Rattus norvegicus: one gene and its partners. The protein of the gene in region 7 interacts with the protein of the main gene of each other region in a biochemical or structural test. Links are inferred from orthologs where the notes say so. Each region holds a gene or a part of one and is shown on either strand. Other genes may lie near its edges.

What was found.
Region 1: the proteins of Rbx1 (region 7) and Cul4a form a complex in vitro, tested with the Homo sapiens proteins (6 studies listed by BioGRID, with this or other methods). The link is inferred for Rattus norvegicus from reciprocal best matches to the Homo sapiens genes RBX1 and CUL4A.
Region 2: the proteins of Rbx1 (region 7) and Cdc34 form a complex in vitro, tested with the Homo sapiens proteins (84 studies listed by BioGRID and IntAct, with this or other methods). The link is inferred for Rattus norvegicus from reciprocal best matches to the Homo sapiens genes RBX1 and CDC34.
Region 3: the proteins of Rbx1 (region 7) and Cul5 form a complex in vitro, tested with the Homo sapiens proteins (4 studies listed by BioGRID and IntAct, with this or other methods). The link is inferred for Rattus norvegicus from reciprocal best matches to the Homo sapiens genes RBX1 and CUL5.
Region 4: the proteins of Rbx1 (region 7) and Ube2m form a complex in vitro, tested with the Homo sapiens proteins (15 studies listed by BioGRID and IntAct, with this or other methods). The link is inferred for Rattus norvegicus from reciprocal best matches to the Homo sapiens genes RBX1 and UBE2M.
Region 5: the proteins of Rbx1 (region 7) and Ube2g2 form a complex in vitro, tested with the Homo sapiens proteins (3 studies listed by BioGRID). The link is inferred for Rattus norvegicus from reciprocal best matches to the Homo sapiens genes RBX1 and UBE2G2.
Region 6: the proteins of Rbx1 (region 7) and Ube2f form a complex in vitro, tested with the Homo sapiens proteins (2 studies listed by BioGRID). The link is inferred for Rattus norvegicus from reciprocal best matches to the Homo sapiens genes RBX1 and UBE2F.

What each region holds. Positions count from the first base shown.
Region 1 is NC_086034.1:83,114,458-83,117,957, forward strand, and holds part of Cul4a (cullin-4A), read right to left. Parts: intron 1,393-3,500; coding exon 1,289-1,392; coding exon of another isoform or gene 1,288-1,288; intron 1-1,287. UniProt on the Homo sapiens protein: Core component of multiple cullin-RING-based E3 ubiquitin-protein ligase complexes which mediate the ubiquitination of target proteins. As a scaffold protein may contribute to catalysis through positioning of the substrate and the ubiquitin-conjugating enzyme.
Region 2 is NC_086025.1:10,670,808-10,674,918, forward strand, and holds the start of Cdc34 (ubiquitin-conjugating enzyme E2 R1), read right to left. Parts: upstream 2,801-4,111; 5' UTR 2,783-2,800; coding exon 2,606-2,782; intron 406-2,605; coding exon 319-405; intron 219-318; coding exon 121-218; intron 1-120. UniProt on the Homo sapiens protein: E2 ubiquitin-conjugating enzyme that accepts ubiquitin from an E1 ubiquitin-activating protein, and catalyzes its covalent attachment to other proteins by an E3 ubiquitin-protein ligase complex. In vitro catalyzes 'Lys-48'-linked polyubiquitination.
Region 3 is NC_086026.1:62,914,633-62,917,571, forward strand, and holds part of Cul5 (cullin-5), read right to left. Parts: intron 2,202-2,939; coding exon 2,078-2,201; intron 1-2,077. UniProt on the Homo sapiens protein: Core component of multiple cullin-5-RING E3 ubiquitin-protein ligase complexes (ECS complexes, also named CRL5 complexes), which mediate the ubiquitination and subsequent proteasomal degradation of target proteins.
Region 4 is NC_086019.1:82,735,499-82,739,491, forward strand, and holds the start of Ube2m (NEDD8-conjugating enzyme Ubc12), read right to left. Parts: upstream 2,801-3,993; 5' UTR 2,228-2,800; coding exon 2,119-2,227; intron 1,123-2,118; coding exon 1,028-1,122; intron 934-1,027; coding exon 895-933; intron 802-894; coding exon 698-801; intron 393-697; coding exon 329-392; intron 242-328; coding exon 101-241; 3' UTR 1-100.
Region 5 is NC_086038.1:10,985,444-10,988,060, forward strand, and holds part of Ube2g2 (ubiquitin-conjugating enzyme E2 G2), read right to left. Parts: intron 2,079-2,617; coding exon 1,960-2,078; intron 293-1,959; coding exon 152-292; intron 1-151. UniProt on the Homo sapiens protein: Accepts ubiquitin from the E1 complex and catalyzes its covalent attachment to other proteins. In vitro catalyzes 'Lys-48'-linked polyubiquitination. Involved in endoplasmic reticulum-associated degradation (ERAD).
Region 6 is NC_086027.1:99,292,187-99,296,314, forward strand, and holds the start of Ube2f (NEDD8-conjugating enzyme UBE2F), read left to right. Parts: upstream 1-1,328; 5' UTR 1,329-1,446; intron 1,447-1,684; exon of another isoform or gene 1,685-1,856; intron 1,857-4,128. UniProt on the Homo sapiens protein: Accepts the ubiquitin-like protein NEDD8 from the UBA3-NAE1 E1 complex and catalyzes its covalent attachment to other proteins. Together with the E3 ubiquitin ligase RNF7/RBX2, specifically neddylates cullin-5 (CUL5).
Region 7 is NC_086025.1:114,869,812-114,873,778, forward strand, and holds the start of Rbx1 (E3 ubiquitin-protein ligase RBX1), read left to right. Parts: upstream 1-1,167; 5' UTR 1,168-1,172; coding exon 1,173-1,250; intron 1,251-3,727; coding exon 3,728-3,806; intron 3,807-3,967. UniProt on the Homo sapiens protein: E3 ubiquitin ligase component of multiple cullin-RING-based E3 ubiquitin-protein ligase (CRLs) complexes which mediate the ubiquitination and subsequent proteasomal degradation of target proteins, including proteins involved in cell cycle progression, signal transduction, transcription and transcription-coupled nucleotide excision repair.

The DNA of each region.
Region 1 (3,500 bases), on a different chromosome or scaffold from region 7:
ATTAAAGTAAGTAAAAAAGCCGTTTGCAGCAAAGTGGGGTTAGAGCAAAACAGTGCTGGGTGCCATGTCCTAGGTGGCATCTGCTGACCACTCTCAGCCTAGGGTCAGTCTCCTCCAGGGCTCCGATGGGGCAGAAGCTCCATGCGCCTCACAGCTCTGTCCTGAGAGGAGATGCATGTGAGCAAGTTCTCCAGGGATCTGGTCACCACGTTCTTGTCTAATCTTGCAGTCGTTGGTTCAAAATGCTGACGGAGAACACAAGAGGCATCTTGACTGAAGCTGTGTAGTAGACCTCCCAGAGGCTCGGTGTCCAGCCACACTTGCTTGCTGTGTTTAATGAACAGGGTCTGCACAGCTGGCAGGGTCAAGTGTCCCCAGGAGGGGGAAAAAGACTTCCTGAATCAGGAGAAAATCTTGAATACAAAGGTTCTGGAATTTATTTTAGACATGAATGCATGGAGCCAAAGAAGTCAACATGGATTTTACACACAACAGAGTTTGTGCGCTTAAAACTGGCCCGAGGCCAGGTCGGACAGACGTACTCGTGGGCATGAGTGACAGGTGACACGGCAGCAAACCTAAGATGGCCTCTGCGCAGCCCTGTGTGCAGTACAGGCCGACTGTTCCCTTCCTAATGGGAGACACAGCCAGCCCGCCTCTGTCTGTCCTGTCCCTGGAGGAAGTCTCAGGCCGGACAGGCAGGTTCTCCTGCCTGCCCAGAGTGCACGATCCACCAGGAGAAAGTGGATGCAGCAAGGACCGGAGGGGCAGTCCTCAGGGTTACGCCAGATCCACTATGGCCAGATGGTAAGCAGGACCTTGTTCCTACAGCTCCCCCCCCACGCCCCGTTAGATGAGACTCCTCCCTGTCACACCGATTGGGCCTGTGACACCGAGACAGAAAGCAAGGGGCTGTATCCTGATTCCTGACAGGCACACCCCAAGAAAATAAGCTGGGTATGACAGCCATATTTGTGGGGATTTGTCACATATCATAAAAAATAAGGTGATTTTTAATTAAAGAACAGAACTTAAACTTTAAGACATTTTTAAAAACTCCCCTGAATGTTCCAATTAGATGCAGTACTCATATCAACTATTTAAATGTGACAAATTTCACTTTTAAAAAAACCATTATAATGAGTTATGAAACAAAAGGCCCCTTGTTCTATAAAAAAAGAGTTAAAACCCATTATTTTACACTGAGGATATTCATCAGTTCTTTATCCTAGTTTTAAAAGCTTTGTGTCATAAATGAGGCACAAAAAGCAAAGCAAGAAAAGGATATTCTCTGAAGGGGAGGATCTGGGCCTGGACATGGTCTTCACAGACCTGCCGCAGCTGCTTGTAGAGCGTGGGGGAGACTTTGTGAGAGCACAGATTCTCAACAGCCTACAACAAAGGAGAGGGTGGTTGTTCAGCGCGCGTCAGAGCTCTTGGAAAGCCCTGCGTTTACCTGCAGTACAGCCCTCTCGGGTGGTCAGGGCACTTGTGCCACCCACACTGATGGCAATGGCCAGCAGTGCCAGCAGTGAGGGGCTCAGACTGACATACCCTGCACCCACTGTTCCTTGGGGGCTGGCACCTCAGGTGTGAAGCTTTGCCCTGGTTCAGGAGTTGCCCTGTCAGGCTGCACAGACCAGGGCTGTGAGGTTAGTTTGGGTCATGTGGCCATTTTTTGACTCTCTAGGTTGAAATGGGGCACACATATATCCTAAAAATGGCCATGTGAACCTGGGCAGTGGCAGGAGGGAGCGCCCAGCTGTGTGAGTGTTAGACCTGTGATTCCTGAGTGACAGGCCAGGCTGCTCCGCTCCCTGTGTTTTTACTGATTGTTGATGTAGAATGCATTTATTTTGTCTTGATGAAGAAAAGGCAACTTTTGTTTGTTTTTTTGAGACAGAGTTTCTCAGCGTTGGCTGTCCTGGAACTCACTCTGTAGACCAGGCTGGCCTCAGACTCAAAGCTCTGCCTGTCTCTGCCTCCTAAGTGCAGGCATTAAAGATGAGCACCACCCACCAGCCAGCAAAAAGGCAACTTTAAACAGCCTACAGGAAAAAAATTATTTCTACCCACTGAAAGAATATAATCTCATCACTCATATTAAACCTCTCTCAAATCTCATATACATGTCAGACTCTTATTCACGTGAGAAGTGTAAAAAGAAATGATCTCTAACGAGGAGAGGGAACAGAGAGACTTTCCTTAGCTCTTTTCCTCGAAGTACCTTCCCGTCTTATCTGTCAGCTCTGCCTCAGAAGCTCAGCATAAGTCAGCCCATGTTTACAAGTACAGAAAAAAAAGTGATTTTATATACACGTCCATGCTTGTGTGCTTTTCTGTAGAAGTCCAGTTTGTGTGGCTGGTATGCCGTCCTTCACAAGAAAGCATTTGTGCAACAGTTTTCTCTCTCTCCTTCTTGAGACGGAGTCTTACTATGTAGCTCTGACTGTCCTGGAACTTGCTATATAGACCAGGCTAGCCTCAAACTCAGAGATCCTTCTGCCTCTGCCTCCCCAGTACTGGGATTAAGGGTGTGCACCACCAGTCCCCTAATATGAGCGTTTTCTGAGTGCTGCTTCCTGAGTTGGAGTCAGCAGTCCTAACTACTTTTCCTAGCTGTGACACACTATCGCTGTCATACCTACTAACATGAATCTTCCTCATGTACTTAGTTACAACTGAAGTCAGCCACTACAGAGACATATGGTATGACAGGTGGGACCCAAGGTGACCCTGGACTCAAATGAGAAGACGGTAATGCACAATGGCAGTCCAGGATTGGTGGCACTGTCTGTGTTAAGGATGGCCTGGGGGTACTATTTCCATACAAACTTGCTGCCTCCCCGCACTACCCCCTACTCAGAGTGAGGCTGGGATACTGGGCCCCTCTAGATGCCTAGTGAGAGAAATAAGTAAGAATACAAAATGAAATCAGGACTCAAATCCAGGCAACAGGAAACTCAGAAACTTCTCAGGAGACATGCACCTGTCACCATCTTCCAAACCCAACCTTAGCACTCAAGGTTGAGGTAAGAGCTAAACACACACCTGTGAGAGCTGAGCAGGAGGCTGCTAGACCAGGGCAGGTTCTGGTGGGACAGACAAGTCAGAGAGGCTATAGTCTCTGCTTTTGTATTGAATTTATGCTCTACTAGTACGTGACTTCTTCAAAGTGGTCCTAGCAATACTGACCTGTTCACCACACCCTGGGCTTTCCCATGTCATTTTAGCCAATCCTGTTACTTGGTTTTCCACAGACCCACACTGCTCCCTCCTTCACTAATATGCCTGACAGGGGTGAACCTTCCGGCTCTGTTGTACACTCCAGCCCAGAGCTGACCTCTCCCTGGAAGCTAGGCCACTCTGAGGAGTTTGCTCTCAGGTGGAGCTCCACTCTGAGTCTTCCTCTGATGTGTACTAGGGTGACGAAAGGACAAAATTCAAGTACGTAAGTCACAGGAGTATGTCCTGAATGGTTCAGACTCAGGTCTTCAGAA
Region 2 (4,111 bases), about 100 Mb from region 7:
CCGTAGGTGCAAGCTCAGCTCCCCAGACTCTGGGAACCCCTGACTGGAGCAGGGAAGGGTGGATCTTAGGGTACAGGGTGTTTGCGGGTGCCCACGGTGCAGTTCCATGGCAATTCTCACCTGACATTCTGCGTGGGGTTCCACCGCTCTGAGGGTAGCTCCCCACTCTGTGGGTCATCAACTGGGGGATGGAGGATGGAGATGCATACGTCCCCTGTCTGCAAGAGTGACCAGGGTTAGAGGAGGGGTGGGGCATGTGCAAGGGAGGCAGAGAAGTGTGTGGTGGAGTGTGCCTGAAGCAGGCCTCTAGTGTCTTACCTCATAGATGTTTGGGTGCCACATCTTGGTGAGGAACCGGAAGGCTGGTGGGGAATATGGGTAGTCGATGGGGAACTTGAGGCGAGCCTACAGATGGCAGAAAATGGGGTGGCTCAATGGCAGGCCCCCGAGCACTGCTGGAGTCAGGGGCTGTGCCCACCTGCCGCTGGTGTACAGGCCCTGAAGCCAACTCCAGTCTTTGTACACCAGTATACACACAGCACACCTCTGTGACTTGACATCCAGGTTAGGAAAGGCAAGGCGGTTAGGAAAGGTGTGGGCTAGCTAGAGGAGTGAGTCAGCAGGTCTGCCTGGCCTCAGGCCTCCCACCAACACCACCCAAGCTCAGGGGCCCAGGCCAAGAGTAGTCACCAGACAAGCTGGAACCATCTGCCTGGTCACAGCAACTGCTTGTGGCTGAAGCTCACCCTGCCCACTGCCCCGACCTTGGACAGATAGAGAAGGCCTGAGATTTGCCCTAGTCTTGGAGCTCCCCAAGGACAGCTTCCAGTGTTCTGCCTGGCGCACACAAACCTAGTGTGGAGTTGCCACCCCGATCCTCTCAGGAGAGCAGATGGGGAAGGTGGCATTGCTGGAACAACACCCCACACTTCTGGGGCTCCAGATGCTTCTAAGAATGAGCAGACTGAGGCTCAGAACAGGAAGGGTTCTCTCAAGTGAGACAGGCTGGGCTGTCCAGAGAAGCTCCTCACAGCTCCCCTCCTACAGAGACTCCCCACGTCTCAGTCACTCACACCATATAGGAAGCTCCTACATTGGCGGATTTGAGTGACATCATGCAGGGCCTCCTCCTAAGCTACCTCAAGAACAATGTGAGCCTAGGAGGCTCTACCCACAATCCTTTACGGGCAAGGAAGAGTTCAGGTGACCCTGCTCTGAGCACCCCCCCCCCCCCCCCCGCAAACACAGGAGACAAGGTGCTAACAGCATCTGCATGTCCTGAAGGCGGCTCAGTTCAGACCACCTCCAGGTGGGAAGCGAGGGTGTCCACATGTGTCTCCCTCCCGTTCTCCACATGCTGTACCTGGAAACCCTAACTCAAACATTCCCCTGCATAAGGAGACTTGTGACTTTCCTAAGCACTGACCAAGAAGGGTGAGGACATCAGCCACAAAGGAAGACGCAGAACAAATAAGTGCCACGGCCCTACATCTGGGGCCCCAGACTGGCTGGGGTTTGCGTGCACCTTTGGCCCTAACATAAGATCCTGTGATTCTGCTAGTTCTAGTCCATGGCAGGCAGGATGATTCAACTGTGCTGACATGGGTACCTATACCTGGCCAAACATACTCAGTGTTGGGGGCTGCCTAAGCCTCCCTGCTCCCAACCACAAAAACATCTGGTGCATTGAGCCTGAAGCCACCAGAGGGCAGACGACACCCCTTAGAAGGAAAAATCAGGCCCCTAAGACTCCACCTGTTCAGTGGAACCTGAGAAAGGCTGTCAGGGTGGGGCAAACAGAGAGCTCTAGGGTCCAGGGCCCTTGGCAGGAACCCAAGGTGTGGCTCCAAGATTCAGGGTGGGCCCCCACCACCCCCTTGAATGCATTACGTGAAGCCTGGCCAGTGCTAAAGGTGGCTGTTGTCCAACAGGCACGGCTGCCAAGGCCCTGCCAGGGCCTCTACTGGAACTGGAGCAGGTGGCTGTCCAGGCTACACGTCTCTTCCCTGGGGACACATCGGCCAGTGGCTGCTCTGGTTGTGTTCCAGGGTAGGGGACAGGCCTGGGGATGTCAGCCAGCAGCTGCCCGTGGTCCTTTATGTCTTGAGATATGGACAAACTAAGGTGAACCTTTTCAGGTTTCACCACATGCTGGTGGGGTGAGGGACAACCTGGGAACATGCTTGCCAGCAGAGGGCTCCAGATGCTTCTGCGTCTTGTGGTGGGGAGAACTACACCGGAACAAGAAGGCCAGCAACTGTCCCTGGGGAGACCCTTCACCAGAAGCATGTTGGAAGAGTGGGGACAACACGGGGAGATACATCCCCAGGTACATGCTTAGTCCAGTGCACGACAGCCTGGGAACACACTGACCAGCAGCAGGCTCTAGAGGCCCCTACGTCTTGTAGTGGGGGTCTGCCTGGGGGTGCGGCATACATTAGCTGTCTCTGGTCATGTAGCCTGCTGGAGAACAGTATAGGGAGACCAGTCCCCGGGGTGAGGTCAGCACGTGCCCAACAAAAAAGGGAGGGGCCGCTTTGCACGAGGGGCCTGAGCCAGCCTGGGAGAGAGGCAGGCACAAAGAGGAAACTGAGGCTCGGCTCACCTTGAAGTAGCCGCCCTCATAGTAGGTGTTGGGGGGTCCGAAGATGGCCACCTCCCAGTTGTACAGGTCGCCCTCGTCCACCAGCGTCACCCGGAAGCCCTCCACCGGCTCCTCCTGCAGCCCCTTCAGCTCCAGCAGCAGCGCCTTCTGCGAGCTGGGCACCAGCGGCCGGGCCATGGCGGTGACGGCGGCGGCGGCGGAGGGGCCCGGGGCCGGGGCCGGGCCGGGCCGCGGGACCGGCGCGAGCTCGCGGGACGGACCGGGTCGCGCGCCGGCAGGGGGAGAGCCGCCGCCTTCCTCCTCTGCGCCGCCGCCGCCGCCACCACCCGGGGACCCCGAAGGCTCCACTCGCTCTGGCGCCGCTGCCCGCCCGGCGCTCGCTTCGGCCCGGCCCGGCCCGCGCCTAACGCGCCTGCGCGCCGCAGCCGCCGGGCCTCGAATGCGCCTGCGCACCGGCTCCCGGCCCCGAATGCGCCTGCGTGCCTCCTTCGGACCCCGAATGCGCCTGCGTGCCACACCCGGGCCCCGAATGCGGCTGCGCGCCGCTGCTGCCGGGCCGGAAATGCACCTGCGCGCCACTGCCGGGTCTAGAATGCGCCTGTGCGACGCCTCCACCGGGTCCGGAATGTGTCTGCGCGCCCGCCCGCGGGGCACGCCGGGAAGTGTAGTCTTCTTCCCCCGCCCTGCCGCGCAGGCGCCTTGCGTTTCCGAAGCCCCGGAGGCCGCCGTCGCCTCCGGCCGGAAGAGCTCCGCGGATGCCTGTGTGCGGAGTGGCGGGCAGGGCTGGGCTGCGCGCTGCGGAGTGGCAGCTGCGGCTTTGGGGGCCTTTTCTGTGACGTCAAGGGGGCGTGGTTGTGGGTGGGGAGTTGGGCGTGGCTTGTGCGGGAGCGGAGCAGGATCCGCCCTAGTTTCCCATCATGAAGCTATGGATGTCCCTATATTGTCTCTATGGGCTCAGGTAGAAGGAGGGCCCACAGAATCGACGATTTGGGGTTTGCAGACCTGGCTTCCAGCGGGTGGAGTGCTAACCTCTACCCTGGGAGGACTCTCATGTCAGGCTGTCCTTTGACCACACCCTAGTCCTGCTTAAGCAGTGGTGAGGCATCCTGGAAAGTTACAGGAGCGGGAACAGACACGCAAAGTCCCCGAGGTTGACCGGCATAGACACCCACACTCCTTTCTTGGACATTTGGTCATGAGTATTGAGGTGGCAGCATATTCAAGCCTTGCAGACAGGTGTGTGGTGTACCCGTGACCTCTAGGGGTGGGTGGTTCTGGCCCTAGGCTGTGTTGTTCACACAGCTGGACTGTGGGTGTCCTGAAGGACTACAGCTGCATCAATAACTGGGGCTGGGAAAAGGCAGCTCCCCCGCCCCGTAACCCCCCACAGGTGTGCCAACATCCTGTCCTGGCTGGGGATATCAGGCAGACCTGTTTGGGGATAGGGAAACAGTGTCAAAGGTGGGGCTGGTTGATGTGACCAGGAAGAGCCAAGGATCCAATGCC
Region 3 (2,939 bases), on a different chromosome or scaffold from region 7:
AAAAGTACAACCAAAAAAGCAGCCCTGTTAAAAGACTTTTTTTCTTTAATTAAAATAACCATCAGTTTGCAATTCATTAGAAGTTTTAAGAACTTGTTTGTTGTGTACACATGCACATGTGCCCATAGGAGAGCGCCTCTCGCTCTCTTCTACATGCGAAGGTTGGAAGACAACTGTGGACTTGAGTCGGTTTCTTCCTTACATCAAGTGAACTGCTGGGACTGAACTCAGGTTGTCAATTACACCACCTACCGCACGATCTCGCCAGCTCTGTTTCCCTGTATGTTGTATTCATTTCCGGGTAGTGGAGACGAGGAGAACGACCTCGCTAAGGAGCCTCTCTCCTTCTGACAGCGCAAGCTGTCAGCTTGCTGTCAAATATCTACGAACTGAGCCACCTTACCTTTCTAGTAATAAATATTTTTACCATGTTCAGAAGCCATCATAATCCTAATTTTAACACATTTTTCAAAGGAAAATATACCAGATAATGTTTCTTAGTTCTAAATAAAAAACATTTCCTAAGGGCACATTACATTTCAGAATTCAATATAGTTTTAAATACTTCAGTTCTGCAAGTTCTCAGCTGTGGCTGAGATACATGTACTCAGTAGGGTATCAAAAAGAGACATAAATAAAAACCAAGGTTTTATCCAAACAATACATCAGAACTTATTACAAACCTCCAATCCAAAAGAGCATTTCTGGTAGCAGAGAGAATTAACTAATTTAATTTTTAATTACTAATAAAATGAGCATTAGCTCTTATTTATGAATAAATGACTTTCGTGTTTTTTATCCACTGTTGGAAGGGTTTTGTTTGGTGTTTTGGAGGCAGGCTCTCCCTAGACAGCTCTGGCTGCCCCGAATCCTCTATAGGTCAGGCCTTAAACTCAGAGATCAGTCTGCCTCAAATTCCACAGAGTGAGGTTAAAAGAATATGTCATGGGCTGGAGAGATGGCTCAGAGGTTAAGAGCACCGACTGCTCTTCCAGAGGTCCTGAGTTCAATTCCCAGCAACCACATGGTGGCTCACAACCATATGTAATGGGATCTGATGCCCTCTTCTGGTGTATCTGAAGAGAGCTACAGTGTACTTGTATATGATAAATAAATAAATCTTTAAAAAAAGAAAATGTCACTATGCCCCATTCTGAATACTCGTTTTTTTTGTTTTTGTCTTTTTAAAGAAGCTTGAAAATTTTGGTCATTCTTTTTTTCCCCCCTACGTGGAGAAGTTTAATGAGAGAAGAGGAGAGGAGAGGAGAGGAAAGGTTGGCCATGGGACACGTGGAGGGAAGGGGGTGGGGGGTGGAGAGAGAAGGGACAGGAATAGAGGGGAAGAGAGCAGAGAAGCAAAGAACAAAGAACAAGAGAGAAAATTTGGTGGATGCTTCACTCCTTTAAAAGGGGAGCAAAAATATCCATAGGAGGGAATAGGGAGGCAAAGTTTAGAGCAGAGACAGAAGGAACAGCCATTCAGAGCCTGCCCCAAATGTGGCCCATACATATACAGTCACCACACTAGATAAGATGGATGAAGCAAAGAAGTGCATGCTGACAGGAACCAGATATAGATGTCTCCTGAGAACATGACAGCCAGAACATGTCAAATACAGAGGCGAATGCTAGCAGCAAACCACTGAACTGAGAATGGGATCCCTGTTGGAGGAGTTAGAAAAAGGACTGAAAGAGCTGAAGGGGCTTAAGACCCCATATGAACAACAATGCCAACCAACCAGAGCTTCCAGGGACTAAACCACTACCGAAAGAGTATACCTGGACTGACCCATGGCTCCAACTGCATATGTAGCAGAGAATAGCCTAGTAAGGGCACCAGTGGAAGGGGAAGCCCTTGATCCAGGCAAGGTTGGACCCCCAGTGTAGGGGAATGTCAGGGGGGAGGGCAGTAAGGGGGGGTGAATAAGGAGGGGAACACTCATATAGAAGGGAAAGGGGAGGGGTTGGGGGCTGAAGGACAGGAAACCGGGAAAGGGAATTAACACTGGAAATACCCAATGTAATAAAAATTGAAAAAAAAAGAGGGAAGTTGAACATTTTTTCTCCCTATACCAACCTGGGTTCTTAATATTCTTAGTTGAACTATTCCTTCATTTTCTTCTTCTCTCATCCGTTCTGTAGTGAGCTGCAAGCGTCCAATCAAATTGATTTTTCCCCTTTTCTGTACTTTTGCATTTTTTCTACAAAAAAAATCAAAAATGTTAAACATTTACTGCAGCACAATGTCTGAAGTTTTAGAAGCATCGTTAGACATTATCACTCAGAACTGTAGGAAAGTGAAGTGATAGCATGCAGCTTTACTCTGAGCAGTCCCTATGCCTATCACGGTGGCCCTGGTCTACAGTCACCTGCAATCCTAGTGAGGGAAGCTGCCCAGAAGGATCTTGATTGCTTTGAGGCTAGGCTATCTGTTGCAAACAAAATTTTTTTAAAAAAATGTGATCCTTCAAACAAGACCTAGCCTCTGATGACTAGGGACCAGATCCCTCAAAACATTAATTTCACTGCCACGAGAATAATAATTAAAGCAAAAGCAAAAAGGTTTTATACAGCATTATCTGATTGAATCTTCAGATAAACAGCTCTGCCTACATAAAGCTGTTTTACCCACTCCCTCTCTCTTTTGGTCTTTACTTTCAATTAAAAAATAAAATGGCATGTCTCCATCTGTGCCTAGAGCTGGGGCTGTCTCACAGCCCTCAGACCCAAAACCAGCCCAGAGACACCTGGTCTGCCATGAGCGCTTGCACTCCTATGCCCACAGGTGGGACTCCACTTTCTTTTCTACTAGCTATCCACAGAGAGACTCACCGGGAGCAAACAGGACATGGGAGCAACGGGGCGGCCTGCCATAGGACCCTTCTGGTCTTCATCTGTGCCCAGAGATAAGGCTGTCCCATAGCCCTCCACACCCAAAA
Region 4 (3,993 bases), on a different chromosome or scaffold from region 7:
GGGGCCAAGGCTACCCCACACACCCTACCTGGGCCCCCAATAAATATTTGCAGGGGATGCCTGGGCCAGTAACCCTGGCAGGGATGGGTAATTGCTAACCCTATTTCAGGCAGCGCTCGAAGTAGGTGGACCCGATGTAACCACCTCTCATGGAGCGCTGCACGTTTTGTTCAAACAGCCGCCGATTGTTCTGCAGGACCTCGGCAGCCTCCTTGTTCAGTGGGTCCTCGGGGTTGGGCTCCTGTGGCCAGTACAAGTGGAAGTCAACAGGCAAGAGAGGCAGAGATGGCCAACAAGCCCTCAGCCTCAAATGTCTATGCCTACTTACCAAGAAGAGATACTGCAGGCCATAAATTATGGAGTTTATCGTAAGGACTGGCTTCCAGTCCTCTCTGTGGGCAGAGAGCATCAAGGTTATCAGGGGCTGGTGAGTGGGAGGTTGCCACAGGCCCTGCTAACACGAAACAGGTCAGGCCCATAGAAGGGCCATTAACATTGAAGAGTGAGGGGGAAGATGTGGAACAGGGCAGGTCATGGAGAAAGCCAAGGTCAGGTCACTAGAAAAACAACTTGAAAAGGAAGACAGAAACCCAGACTGACCATAAAGGCAAGGACAGAGATGGATGCAGCATCCACAAAGGCTGAGAGGATTCCTAGAAGGCAAGCCTTGGGAGGGAAAGGAAGGCAGTGCCCTCACCTGAGGATGTTGAGGCAGACGTTGCCCTCGAGGTCAATGTTGGGATGATAAACCATTGTTTCACACTTCACCTTGGGAGGGTCATGTGGGTAACCCTGTCCCACCTGGCTCCAGAAAAAAGAGAAATGAGATGGGAGGGTGTTTTGGCTATGCCCCAGTCTTCTCCACAGAGCCACCTTTGTACACTTGAAACTCACCTTAAAGCTGAACACAAACTTGCCGCTCTTGTAGAAGCCCTGGAAGAGGAAGGGGGAAGAATGCATAAAGATCCTGCTCTTAGGGGGCCACCCCTGGACTGTTCTTGGGAATCCTGCCATGTTTTACTCTTACTTCATCAGGACAGATAACCAGTTTGAAGTTGAGGAGGTCGTCTGGGTCTGAGAAGCTGATGTCACACGTCTTGGGCAGGTTCAGCTCGTTAATGTCTAGGTTTGCACAGCAGGGAGAGGGAGAGAAAACAGGTAGAAGAAAGGAGGTAGGTCTGGACATGTGTCAGTAGAACCCCCAAGGTCTCCTGGACCTGAGGTGCTCTTTGTGTGCTGTGCTTTAACTCACTCCATAGGACTAACTACTCTTTCCACTTTTCAGTCTCTACTCTTCTGGATACACGGTATCCCACATACAAGCATCTTCAAGTGTAACTGGATGCCCATCTCTTGGGAAAGGGCAAGCCTTTATCCCCCAACCCCAAGTCCTCCGCAAGTTCCCACAACATAGTCCCCAAGAACCTTTACTCCCATAACCCTTACTTCCAAGAACCCCTGAGTACCTTAAACCTGAGGTTCTCTATTTCTAGTCACTATCTCCATTCACGACTGTTTACCAGTTCACCACTATTCAAGGACCATGACACCTCCCCCCACAACACTAAGTTCAACCTTCCCATCAAGTATCCAGCCTCCACTGTCCTCCCTCTTCTCCGGATTACTCCACGTTCCCATCTGATCCTTGAGATTTCTAGCATGGTAGCTTAAATTGACCCAAACTCCTTTTTTTTTTTTTTTTTTTAAAGTTCCTGTCATTTTCTCTACCCCCCTTCACCTCAAACTCAAAACCACTCTGCCTAAACCCCTGGACTTGAGTCCTGGACCACCAGCCCCAGTATAAAACACTAAACCGTCTCCTACTTATCCCCAATTCGTAACCTTCACAATCTTCACGGCCCGTCACCCCAGAGCAAAGTTCCCCTCTGACTCTCCAAACTATACCCCTCCCCTAACAGATTCCGGGTCCCTAACACTCCAGGCCCAAATATCCCAACGCCCCATACTCGGCCCCAATCTCTGACCCTCCCTAGTGACCGCACCCCCCCACCCCGTCCCGTATCACAACCCTCGAACTCTGACCCTCGATACCAAATATCAGCGGTGGCAATTTCACGCCACGGTCCCTGACCTCGAACGCAGGGTCCCGACCCCTACCCTTCTGAATCCGCAGCTGCGCCGCCGACGCCTTCTTGCTGCTGCCCTTGGTGCCGCCGGCCGACTCCTCCTCCTTCTTCTGCTGCTTCAGCGAGAACAGCTTGATCATCCTGCCGCCGCCGCCGCCGCCGCAGCCGCCGCGGGGCCCGGGACCCCGGCCACCCGGCCCCCCGCCGCCGCCTGCGCCGCTTCCGCTCCTCGGACCCGCTACCGCGGCCTCCTCCGCTGCCGCCCGCCCGGCCTGCCGCGCTGCTCCGCGCCCACCGCACGGCCCGCCTCGGCTCCCGTAGTCCGGCTCTGGCCTGGCTTAGCACCTCGGGTGTGTTCGGAAGTGCTCGGGAGGACTCGGCTATCCTCGGCCCCGCCCCTGCTACGGCCCCCGCGCCCTCCTCCCCCTCTTCCGCTCGGGTCTTGTGAGTCCCCGCTGCGGCTGCGGACGCCGGCCTTTACCGGTCCGCCGCTCTCCCGCCTACTTGCTCCCTTTGCTAGGAGGCTGCGGTGAGGTGGAAGGAGGAGGCGGCAGCCGCGCTTGCGGCGGCAGGGTACCGCAGGGTACCGGTGGAGGCTCAGCTTCCGCGGCAGGCGCGGCTTCGATGCGGAGGTCGGCAACGGCCTCGGGCACCCCGCCGCTTCGGCACTTTCCGTCGTCTGTCCGCTTCGGTTTTTCCTGGCTCGGCTGCGCTCTGCGCCTGCGCAACTCTTGCAGCGCCCCCACCCCACCCCCCTGCTTGCTCCTCGTTGTAGTTTGAGGTTCGGTTTTCTTCGGTTAAGCTCGGGTATTTCCGTTTGTGGAGGTGACTATTTGGCGGTCCATCGGGTACTTCCTGGGATGCGCACCCAGGAGAGTAGGAAGCAGTGCTTGCAACCATTTTTGAACCAGGCAGGTAGTGGCTGTTTGGCTCTTGGTGGTTCTATTCAATATTGCACTTATGCGGATCTCAGCGGGACCAGGTTACCAGGTTAGACTGGATCCTTGCCCTCTTGAGGGCTCAGCAAAGGCAGAACCTGGACGTTGTAAGGAACGTTGCCTAAGGGTGCAGAAGCAAGCTCCCCTTTAATCCCACCGCAATCCCAGATTCAGATTGATGGGAACTAGTTTAAAACTCGAATTGTGGGTTGGGGATTTAGCTCAGTGGTAGAGCGCTTGCCTAGCAAGCGCAAGGCCCTGGGTTCGGTCCCCAGCTCCGAAAAAAAGAACCAAAAAAAAACAAAACAAAAAAACAAAACAAAAAAAAAAAAAACTCGAATTGTTCTGGAGGCTTGAGGTATCAAGTTGGCTTGAGAACAGGCGTTAAGGGCTGGAGAGATGGCTCAGTGGTTAAGAGCACCAACTGCTCTTCCAGAGGTCCTGAGTTCAAATCCCAGCAACCACATGGTGGCTCACAACCATCTGTAATAAGATCTGATGCCCTCTTCTGGTATGTCTGAAGACAGCTACAGTGTACTCATATATAATAAAAATAAATCTTTAAAAAAGAGAGAGAGAACAGGCGTTCAGGGACACCCTAGGCAACACATCGAGACCCTTGTTCCTTAAATTTCTGTTGTGTAACAGACGTGAGCAACCGTGTAGTTCTAGGGTCCGAGGTTGACGTTGGTATAGGTAGGGCTTACGACTGCGATCTAGAGACCAGCAGAAGTGGCACTGTGCTTCTTGATTAACTTGTTCAGTGAGCTTGCATCCAACCACAGTGCTTGGGAGGCAGAAGAAAATAATAGCTCAGGATGGGCCAGTGACTTTGGCTGTCATCTAGGAAACCAGAAGCCAGAGTCGCTGTTGAAAAACATGACCGGAACAGGTTAGGACTATGTTCTGCTCTTATAAAGGCTCTTTGCTGACTGACAGCGTTTGCACCACCCAGCATGGCACAGTTC
Region 5 (2,617 bases), on a different chromosome or scaffold from region 7:
CACTGAGCTTTATACCCCTGCTCTGGGACTCTCAGTGGCCCCAACAAATCACAGTGAGAGACTAGCAAACTGTAGCCAACAACCTGAGAATCTACTGGCCCGTCTTACACATCTATACTCCTGCGTCTGCTCACACTCGGGAAAGCCTCACCTGCCAGCATGCTCACCACCGAAAGCAGGATCTTCTCCACACTCTGCACTGGGCTCCACCGCTCGGCACTGCTCTCATAGCCCATGGGGTCGTCCCCTGGGGCATGCAGGATGGAGATGCACACTCTTCCGTCAGGGTAGACTGCAAAAGTCAGAGACGTGTCACTGTGCGGGGAAGCTCCACAGACACAGGCCCGGCTGTTTGCACAGCTGAAACAGGAGTTTCCTGCTGGCACGGATCCCGGGCTGCTAGCAGCAGACCAGACCTGTCATGGACTGATCAGGTCCTGTGGTCACTGACAAGGGGGCCTGGGACCAGGTCTGTCTAGCACTGAGCAGTCACAACTGGATTCTACCTTGTTACATTGAGCACCTAAAGGAGGAAGTGAAAGATGTGTGGACGAATATTCCAAACTCAAGTTCCCAGAGTTCAAGATACTGCACGGGGCTGCAGAGCCACCAGCAGCAAAGTCCATGTCCAGGTAGCTAGAGCAGAGGCAAGGCAGCGAAACCCCTCAAGTCCTGAGAAAAGGGGGGAAGGACTTAGCACCAGACCAGGTTCAAAATTAACGTTTACAAAATACAAAAACGTCCATTTGGGCCAGAGAGGCAGCTTGGAAGTTAAGTGTTGCCCGCTGTTCCAGAGAACCAGAGTTCGATTCCCACACCTACATGATGGCTCAGAATCATCCATAAGTCCAATTCCAGGGGATCTGACTCAGTTGTCTGGCCTCTGTCTGTTACACAGACAGACATGCAGGCAAAGCACCCGTACACATAAAATAAAATTGAAAAAGAACCCTGGTGTCTAATAAGTGAATGTTTTATTTTTACAAAATAGAATACCCTACTTGAATTTAGCTCCACAGGCAGAAAGATCAAGACTATTGTGGCAATGAAAAACATTTACAAGAAGGAACACTATCCTAATGCCATCATTCAAAATACAACGCACTGTCCATTTCTCTTATCTAAGTCTGGCATGGACACATGTGTATGGAATTCAGCACTTGGGAGACAGAGACAGGAAGATCAGGAGTTCAAGGCCATCCTGAGCAATCCTGAGCCTCCATGTACAAAACCTACTAGTAAAAGGAAGGAAGAAACCCCTACTCCCAGTCAGGGCACAGTCACTGACAGTACTATGGCCCCTCGCAGATAGAGATGGAACTCAGAGTACCAGTGCTTTGAGTACTCCCTACTTCCCAGCCTACACAGTTCCCCGCAAACCCGAGTAACAGCAATCGAGCCTCTAGGGATTTCTACCATATCCTCAGTGTCCACGTCCAGGCTAACTACAGCAGCCCTCTACTCTGCTGTAGGTCAGCTGGGCTGGCTCCCGACTTTTCATGTGCACGACTACACAGTATGCTGTGTATGTCTGTGTACTGCACGACAGCCTGGCTCCAGAGAGGCTAGCAGAGGTACCAGATTCCTGGAGCCTCAGTTGTGAGCAATGCTGGGTGCTGGGAACCAAATCTGGGTCCTCTGCAAGGGCAGCAAGTGCTCTAAACCACTGAGCCATCTCTCCAGCCCAATTCCAATTTTCCACCATTAAAATGACACGGTGACAAAGGCCAAGGAAGGACACAAAGCACTCAAGGCCTGAAAGTTCCAGTGAACCCATTAACACAGGACGGCTGACAAACAGCCAGTGCTGAGGTCACACATTTTCCCCTTTACATTAAGCTGTCCTTCAACGTGGCACTCTGGTGCTCACACCATCACTCATCTGTCACAGCTAGAGCTGAGAGCACTGTAGAGCTGTGTGGCACTGCTGCCCTGTCAGCCGCAGTCAGTCACACTTACTGTTGGGATGGAACATCTCACAGGTGAATCTCATTTTCGGAGGGCTCAAAGGGTAGTCAAGTGGGAAACTCAGGATGGCGGGGAAAACACCAAACTCAAAGCAAGTGTCTTCAGGGCCCCTGCAAATCAGGAAAGAGACACATTTGCGACGCCAGCCATGACTCAGACGTGGGAGAGGGACACTATCACGGCCTAAACTGGCTCGTGGGAAATCTGCTGCTTTCTCTCCCTGGAGAGTCCACGTCGGTCCATTTCAGCCTGAGGCACAAACACAGCCGGAAGCTCAGCCGCAGAGCCTCGCACAGGAACTGCACCACAGAGAAACTCAGGCACACGGCAGGTCCTGCAGGGGTGACTGTGGGCATGAGGCCCCACTCCTGTGAGGATTCGAGGTGTCAATTTTGGCAGACTGTAACCAAGAAGAGTCTCTGTGCTCACAGGGGAGGACTAAGGAACACACAGGGCACACATGTGACCCTCAGCCCCCGCTCAGTGTGCAGCAGCCTAAGGTCACGGCAACCCTACCAGGCCCCAAGACTCCAATCTGCACCAGCCGTCTCCTAGTACGTGAATAAAGGAAATGGACCAAGCCACGGAAGTCCTGCTCAAGTCCTAGAGACAGGGATGCCCACTGAGACCTGAAGGCAGGGGAATAGGA
Region 6 (4,128 bases), on a different chromosome or scaffold from region 7:
CTAAGATTAAAGCTGAGTGCCACCATGCCCAGCTGCCTTTTACCCTTCATATCTGTGCACAAGTGTGTATCTGATGTATGTATCTGATGTACGCACACGTGAGCCCGAGTAACGTGTGTAGCTATGTATGTGCTACATCGGGTGATCTAAGGATAACTTTCCTTCACTTTTTTGTGTTTAAGACAGATTTTCATTAAGTCACCCTGGCTGGTTTGGAATTCTATGTAATCTAGGCTGTTCATCGCAGGATCTCTTTCCCTCTACAGGGTACTTGGTCCTAATCCTCTGAGGATTCCTCTGCCTAGGCTTCACATCTTCCCACCTGAGTTTGGAAACAGGTCCTCATGCCGACAAATGCTTTACTCACAGAGCCCAATTGCCTTCTTTCGAAAGAAATTTTAGGATCTAGGGGCCATGTAGCTCAAGGGTAGTGTTTTGCAGGTGAGACTTCTGGAGTTCGTTCCCCAGAACCACAAAGAAAATAAATGAAATCTTAACATTCCTTGGTCTTTTCCACAGCAAATATTCTCTTTTCAAGGCCCTACCTCTCTAGGAGTCTTGCCTATTTCTCTCAGAGTAGAAGATCTCCAGTCCCACAGGGACAGAGAATTCATACCCCATGAGCTGCAAGAAGAACGCTGCAAATGGAACTACAGGGCCTTACATATGCAAAGCAAGTTCCCCCACCACTGCTATACATCTAGGGGCCTGAAGCGTATTTTTGAGGCAGGCTCTTTCTACGTATCTCTGGCTGTCCTGGAATTTAATATGTAGACCAGGCCTTCCTCTGTCTCTCGGGCGCTGGGATCGAAGGTATGCCCCCCAAACTCCAGGCCTAAAGCAGATTTTTAAAGTGCACATAGGAATACTAGGAACAGGAGAAATTAAAAAATAAGAAGCAGGAAGAGTGCCCTCACATCCATCAGCCACCTGATGCAATCTGCACCTCTAACAATCCCGTAGCCCTAATGCAGCTGCAGACAGGTCGGATCGTTTGCATTCAGGACTGGTGCTGGGCATAGGGCTATAGCTCCACCAGCAGGCACTGTATTAGTGTGGTACACGGAAGGATCAAGCGGCTAAATGAATGGAAACAAGCCGGAAGGCCGTGTGCCGGGGTCCTGGACGCAGGTGCCTCCATGACCAATCAGTAAAGGTTTTGCCACATGGCCTGTCCTCAGGTCGTGCTCTCCACCAATGAGCGACGGTCACCTAGTTGGCCGGTGTACGCGACTGTCCGCGCGTGGAGCTGCCAATAAAGTTCTTTATAGCTTTGAATTTTTTTTTTAAAGTGACCGCTGCGGTCACGGCGCAGTCCCCGCCCCGCCACTTCCGGTCCCGCCGCCGGGAGCCGGTGCGGCTGTGAAGGCCAGCGCGACTCGGTGCCGCTGCTGGCCGGGCATGATTTTGGGTGCCGGCTTGCCTCGCCTGACTCGCGGTGCTCAGGTGAGCTGGTCGCGCGGGCTGGGCTGAGGCCGCGGCTCCTCTCGCCGGGCGCCACGCGGGACCGCGAGATCGGCGGCTGACGGGAAGCGCTGGGCGGGCAGCGAGCCCCCGCGGCTCTGAGGGCCGGGCCGAGGCGGACCCCGTGCCGCCGCCCGCAAGGTCACGGTCCGGAGCTCGGGCCGTCCGGGAGGCCGAGGCCGCGGCGGGGAGGCCGCTGTCCCTGAAGGGAGGCGGGAGGTGGACACAGCCCGCCACGGCGAGGGCGGGGAGGAGGGGCGGCCGGCCCGCCTGGCCCGGTTCGGTCCCTGACCCGGTTCCGCGGCGTGTCACCTGGGGTGTGGCCTTCTCTCCAGCGGGCTCAGTTTCCTCCGTCTCCGGTGGGCATTGGACCCCACTCCTCGGGGCTGCCGGTGGGTTGGAGTTGCTGAAGGCGGCTTCCTGGAGGGGAGACTGGCCTGTGGGTAGAAATCTGCTCTCCTTAAGAACCTGGTAGGGCTTGGCGGTGAAGGGAAAGAGGGCATCCCAAGACCTGGTTATCAGATTGAACAGAAGGTTCCAGAAATGAGCAGGGTGGTGTTGAAAAACAGTGAGGTGGCTGGTGGGCCTGGTGCCGAGGCTTCCTAGCTGTTTGGGCCGAATGTTGGGAGCTCGGCAGTACGAGAGAGACTCATAGGTGGGAATTAAGAGGGATAGTGATGGAGGGAACTTCAGGAACAGAATTAACCTGGACAGAATTAACTTGGCATTCAGTACCCAAAATCAAAGATGAGTCCGGAGGCGGTCAGTCAATAAACCGGGTTAGAGGCCCTTGGGCACTCATGCTGTACGATACTGGGGTGCGGAAGTTTTTAAAGTCTCAGTCTGAGCGCTTGCCTAGCAAGCGTAAGGCCCTGGGTTCAGTCCCCAGCTCCGAAAAAAAGAAAAAAAAAAGTTTAAAGTTTCAGTCTGTTTCTTTAGACTTGAGAGGTTAGGCATCCTTAGTAGCCCCGTAGTCCTCTCTTAAATGGCTTCGATTGGAACTGTCAGTGAGGAGTTAGCCTCACCTTGAGCTGCCTGGCCCTGCCCAGGGGACATCAGCTTGATTTCAGCACAGCACATAGGAATGCTGAATAAACATGATTTGGTGAGACTGGTAAATAACACACTACAGTCCTCTTTGGATGGCCCAAAGGCTGGTCCCACCCAGAGGAGGAACTAAGTGGGCCAATTACAACTTGTGGAATTTGAAACTCAGCATGCTGTTCAGAATAGCTGATCTGTTCCCAAGATACTGCCTTAGTCACAGTGTGATTTTTTTTTCCCCCAAGAAAAGGGAAGTTTTGGTCAAAGTGGGGTTTTCTAGAGGTGGGACATGTTGAGGAGGGAAAGAGAATTCAGAGGTAACTTCTACCCTTTTGATAGTTCGAGTAACTGTTTTTGTTTGATCCCCTTGTGTAGATTTAATTTTCTGATTGTGGGACATTTCCAAATTGAGACTTTGGTTTATTCCCTCACATGCTAGTGAAAGTGATGCAGATGATAGATAAAATAGCGGATACTCTAATCTTACTTGCCTTAGAGTATCAGAAAGTACGTGTTGGGTTTTCTGTGGAGACACCACCAGTGTTGTTTTCTACCTTGCACAGTCTTCACACAACATGTCCTACTGGAAAAGCCTACAGCTCACTGAAGATTACAAGTTAGAATCCACACCACACAGAGTAGAGCATGGTATGCCCATCCTCTGCCTCTGAGGGTGTGAGAGCAGTAGGCAGAGCCCTTGGACTGCAGTGGCAGGTCTAAGCAGCCAAGTGCAGGTTTGCAGGGTGTGGAGCAGCTTCTGTTCTTCATTTTCCAAGAAGCTGTTGTGACCACTAGGGACTGCCTGCTCAACCCTTAACCAGTGCTTTCCCGTTTCACTTTCCACCACTTGCCTTAGTGATACCAAAGGTGAAAACCTAATGGTCCTCGTGTGGAACATCCTCACTGGTCCCAGCAGTGTATAGGGTTGTTGTCTTGGACATTGTCAGACACCCCTGATGGCCCAAGGTCTGAGCATGGAGTGGTGGACTTAGACTTGGCCAAGGTGGGAAGCACTAACTCATGATCCTGCTTGAGGAATTTCTGACAAGATCATTCCAGGCGGCAACAAGGCAGGAAAACATTGTTACGGTTCTGCTGTTTTGGGAGCTTGTGGGCTGGAGTCCCTCTGGGGAAGTGACTTAGCGAAGACTGGAGGATGTCTGTGTTCTGACAAGGCTCATCTTTTCACATAGATGCCCCTAAGGAGAAGCTATTACAGAGTAGGACTGAACTGGCCCATCACTTCATGACTGATCAATGTTTGTATAAACTACACCATACCCACACTTACAACACATCTAAATGAAAACTAGTTTTTTTTGTGGTGAGTGCTTCTTATAGCTTAGTGTCTTGGACACTCATCCTCCAGGCCTGTTTCAGGAGGTGTGTGTGTGCATGTCTGCCAGTGTGCATTAGTGTTAGGAGTCTTTCCCAGATTTCAGAGCTATGAGCTTAAGCATACTGATGTGCAATACAAGAATTGTTTGGTACATTTAGACAAATGATACTTTCTGATTTTATTTTGGTATTTTTACCTTCCTTTTCTGATACATCTACTGTAGCCCTGACTAACCTCCAACTGACAGTCCTCCCTCAGCCCCCCAAATACTGATGTTACAG
Region 7 (3,967 bases):
TAGGGAGTCTATTGACACATAAATCAATGACGATTTTAGTGTGGGAGGTAGAACTTGGGCCAACACACACACTCCTTGCAGGCTGTAGCAAGTCTTCTTTGTGCAAGTTAAAACTGTGGTGGTGTTTCCGGATGTATTGCCCTGCTCAGCAAGGACATCAACAGCACACTGAATTGCACGCCAGTATTTCTTTCAAGTGGGCATTTCAGATAAAACGTCATTGTTGTCCTGTTGAGGGAACTAGAACACATAAGAAGTTCGAGGGTGATGTATTCTAGTCATACCTCTGCAAATTTAGGAGATAAAACAGTGGAGGGCTGGGCTAAACATGGAAGCATGACAAAAGATACAGGTTCTTAGCTCGGTGGTAATGACCGGTAAGAAAATCAGAATGCCTCACCCAAATTCAAGTTTGGCCACTACAAATGTACTAATTTAACTGTAGCACAAGTAGCAAAACTCGGATGGGAAATGGGGAGAAAGGAGGATGGCATCTCCCAGGCTCCTACGTGTTCTCCGTGTCTTTCTGGTGAGAAGGTGAAGGCAGAGCTGCAGAATGCCTGCTCTGTTTGTTCCTGGGCAGAACATTCAGGCCTCTCTCTCCCTATCAAATAATTTCCCAAACTGAAGTTGAGAACGCAGACCGTGCCCGGGCCTTGGAAAGCCGAGTCACAGGGCCCCCAAGCCGGCCACGGTCAGCAGAAGGCCGTTTTGAACGTTTTGGAGTTTCGGGTTTCCACAGACCAGCCCATGCCCTTTGCACCGCGGCCTTGGGGGCAGCGCTGTGGGTCTGGATCAGGTATAAATTCTGGGGCAGAAGGAGGAAGCAGCCGCCGCCCCAGAAGAAGGAGTCAGGCCACAGGGTTTCCCAGAAGGCGAGCAGTATTCAGACCTCAGGGACATTCCCACCAGTTGGCTCCCTTCGCTCGGCCCCGCCCGGCTCCGCCCGGCCCCGCCCGACCCCGCCTCAATCACTCCAGCCTCCTCCCCAGCTGAGAGCGACGGGGAACCTCCGCCTGCGCCTTTAAGGGGCGTGACCGCAGCCTCCGCCCCTTCTACCCGCACGCGCCAATAAGGGGAGGGGTGCGAGAGGAGGAGCCTGGCGAGAGGGCAGGCGGCGGAAAGTGAGCCGATGCGCAGGCGCAGTGGTCGCACGACAGTGTGTTTCCAAAATGGCGGCGGCGATGGATGTGGATACCCCCAGCGGCACCAACAGCGGCGCGGGCAAGAAGCGCTTTGAAGTTAAAAAGGTTGGGTCTCGCCAGCGCCTTCCTCAAGGAATCTAGGGAGGCGCGGATATGGCTGGCAGGCCCGAGGAAGAGCTAGGCGCGGGGGAAAGGGCTTCATTTCAGGGCGTTCCTGGGACCGGGTACCACTAAAGGAAGCCGGGGGGCGGGCCTAGGGTTGATCGGCATGATGGTGGCCCACTGTCTTGGCCATATTAGTTTCGCTGGGAAAGCTGTGGGTCCAATCGCAGAGCTGCTTACTGAAATACGCGAGGTTAACTTCGGTGCGGGAGCCAAGCGCTTAAGCTGTCACTGAAGTGACTGAGAGTTGGGGGAAGGACAGGGTGGGGTGGGTAGGATGGAGACTCGTGAAGAGACTGCGGCGGGTGGAGGATGGGGCTGTGCGGAGAAACCCGGGAACGTGCGATGACACCGCAGAAGAGCTCTGCCGGTGTTCTTGCTCCGCCCCTTCCTGGATCCTAGAATCTATTGACTCCGAGGGACCTGGTGTGGGCCCTCGATTGTATGGCGGCCTCCATTAGCCTTCTAAACCCACAGTCTCAAGTGTAAAGCTTGGTTCTTCCGAGACGTGTACTAGTTGTCACATAGCTTCTGCCACTCCAATGGTTCTCTAATGCCCGTGTACACTTCTAACACAAAATGGTAATTTAAAAAGTCTGGTGGGCTTTGTTTTAAAAGCAAGCCCAGAACTTGTGCCATTTAAGAAGGCGGAGTACTAATTGTTAATGACCTGGGAACACAAAAAATATGAAACGTCCTTTTGTATTCTATTCCCTTCATAGTTTTCTAGCACTTTAAGAGAAAAGTGCCCGTTCCTACCTAAGATTACATAAATCTGCTCAAAATGAAGATCTTGAAGTGGGGAAGGTGTTTTTGGTTTTTTGTTGGTTTGTTTGGGGTTTTTTTTCCTTTTTGTTTTTGTTTTTTTTTTTTTTGTATGTATTACTTTTGGAAAGAGTCGCTGAGAACACCTCCCCACCCCACTCTTTTTTTGTCATCTCATTGTGGCCACTGCTGCTCAGTTACGGCCTGCAGCCATATGGAAGAATAATAGAAATAATGTCGAATTTACTAGACTCGAATACTTGAATTTGAGAAGTCAAACCAAAGTAGTCCTTGAAAGGGGTGTCCTAGGGGTTGGGGATTTAGCTCAGTGGTAGAGCGCTTGTCTAGCAAGCGCAAGGCCCTGGGTTCGGTCCCCAGCTCCAGAAAAAAAGAAAAAAGAAAAAAAAAAAAGAAAGAAAGGGGTGTCCTGCCCAGTGTAAGTCTTGGATCAATTTACTAGAACTAGCAAAATAATAGTTTGGACATATGAACGTTGGGAACATCAGTTTCCTTGGTAAGAGGACAAGAAAATTGCACTGGATTGACTTGCTTGCAGTGCTGTGAGGTGTAAGTGATGACCTTGTTCTGTGTGCTGACACTGGGTAGGTAACTCACTATCCAGCTTATCCCACGATTATCCCCTTAGCGATTGATCCATTTATTATCGTAGTTCAGTCTGTTCACCTCTCTTCCTCCGAGTCCAAAACTGCGTGGAGAGCAAATACTTAGGCAGATTTTGAGTTCGACCACATCTGTCAGGAACAGCTCCACATTAGTTCAAGTTTGTACTTGAAGCTAAAATGGGTGTTCAAAAAATAGCTCTAATATTCCCACGTCGGTTTGGCTAGCTAAATTATTTTATGCTATAGACCAAAAAAAAAAAAATTGGCGCGGTGGGGCTTGCCTTCCTCTTTCCGCCATCTTGGCGCCTTTGGAAGCCCACTGGGAACAGGACTTCTAAAAAAAACAAGTATGTCTGGAAGGCTGTGGTGCAAGGCCATTTTTGCTGGCTACAAGCCAGGCCTCCTGAACCAAAGAGAGTACACGGCTCTTCTTAAAATTGAAGGCGTTTGGGGTTGGGGATTTAGCTCAGTGGTAGAGCGCTTGCCTAAGAAGCGCAAGGTCCTGGGTTCGGTCCCCAGCTCCGAAAAAAAAAAAAAAATTGAAGGCGTTTATGCCCGAGATGAAACTGAGTTCTACTTAGGCAAGAGGTGTGCTTATGTGTACAAAGCAAAAAACAATACAGTGACTCCTGGAGGCAAACCAAACAAAACCAGAGTGATCTGGGGAAAAGTAACTCGGGCCCATGGAAACAGTGGCGTGGTTCGTGCCAAATTCCAAAGCAACCTTCCTGCAAAGGCCATTGGACACAGAATCCGTGTGATGCTGTACCCATCCCAGATTTAAACTAATGGAGAGTAAATAAATAAAAGTAAAAAAAAAAAAAAATTAAAAGTACCCATGTTCAGGAATGAGGAAGTGTACACGTGGTCTGCTGTTACCCTCTGATGTTGTACAAATAATGCAATCCAAAAATCATTCTTTCTTTGCTAGGCCCTATGGCCAGGGAGTTGGTAACTGAAGCCGCAGCTGAAATCCTAACGAGTCTGTTATGTTACCCAGAAAATGCATTGTTTCCCCTCTTCTCCTTGCAGTGGAATGCAGTAGCCCTCTGGGCCTGGGATATTGTGGTTGATAACTGTGCCATCTGCAGGAACCACATTATGGATCTTTGTAAGTAACTCGGGGCGGGTGGGAAGGCGTTGAGGAAGAGAGAAATGGCGGTCATCCTCGTGTGCCCAATTGTCTTCTTTACCAGTGAATACAAAGCAGGGTCAGAACCCGTAGGTACTTGAGTGTTTGAAGTAGATTGCATGTTGTTATTTTTGGAGACA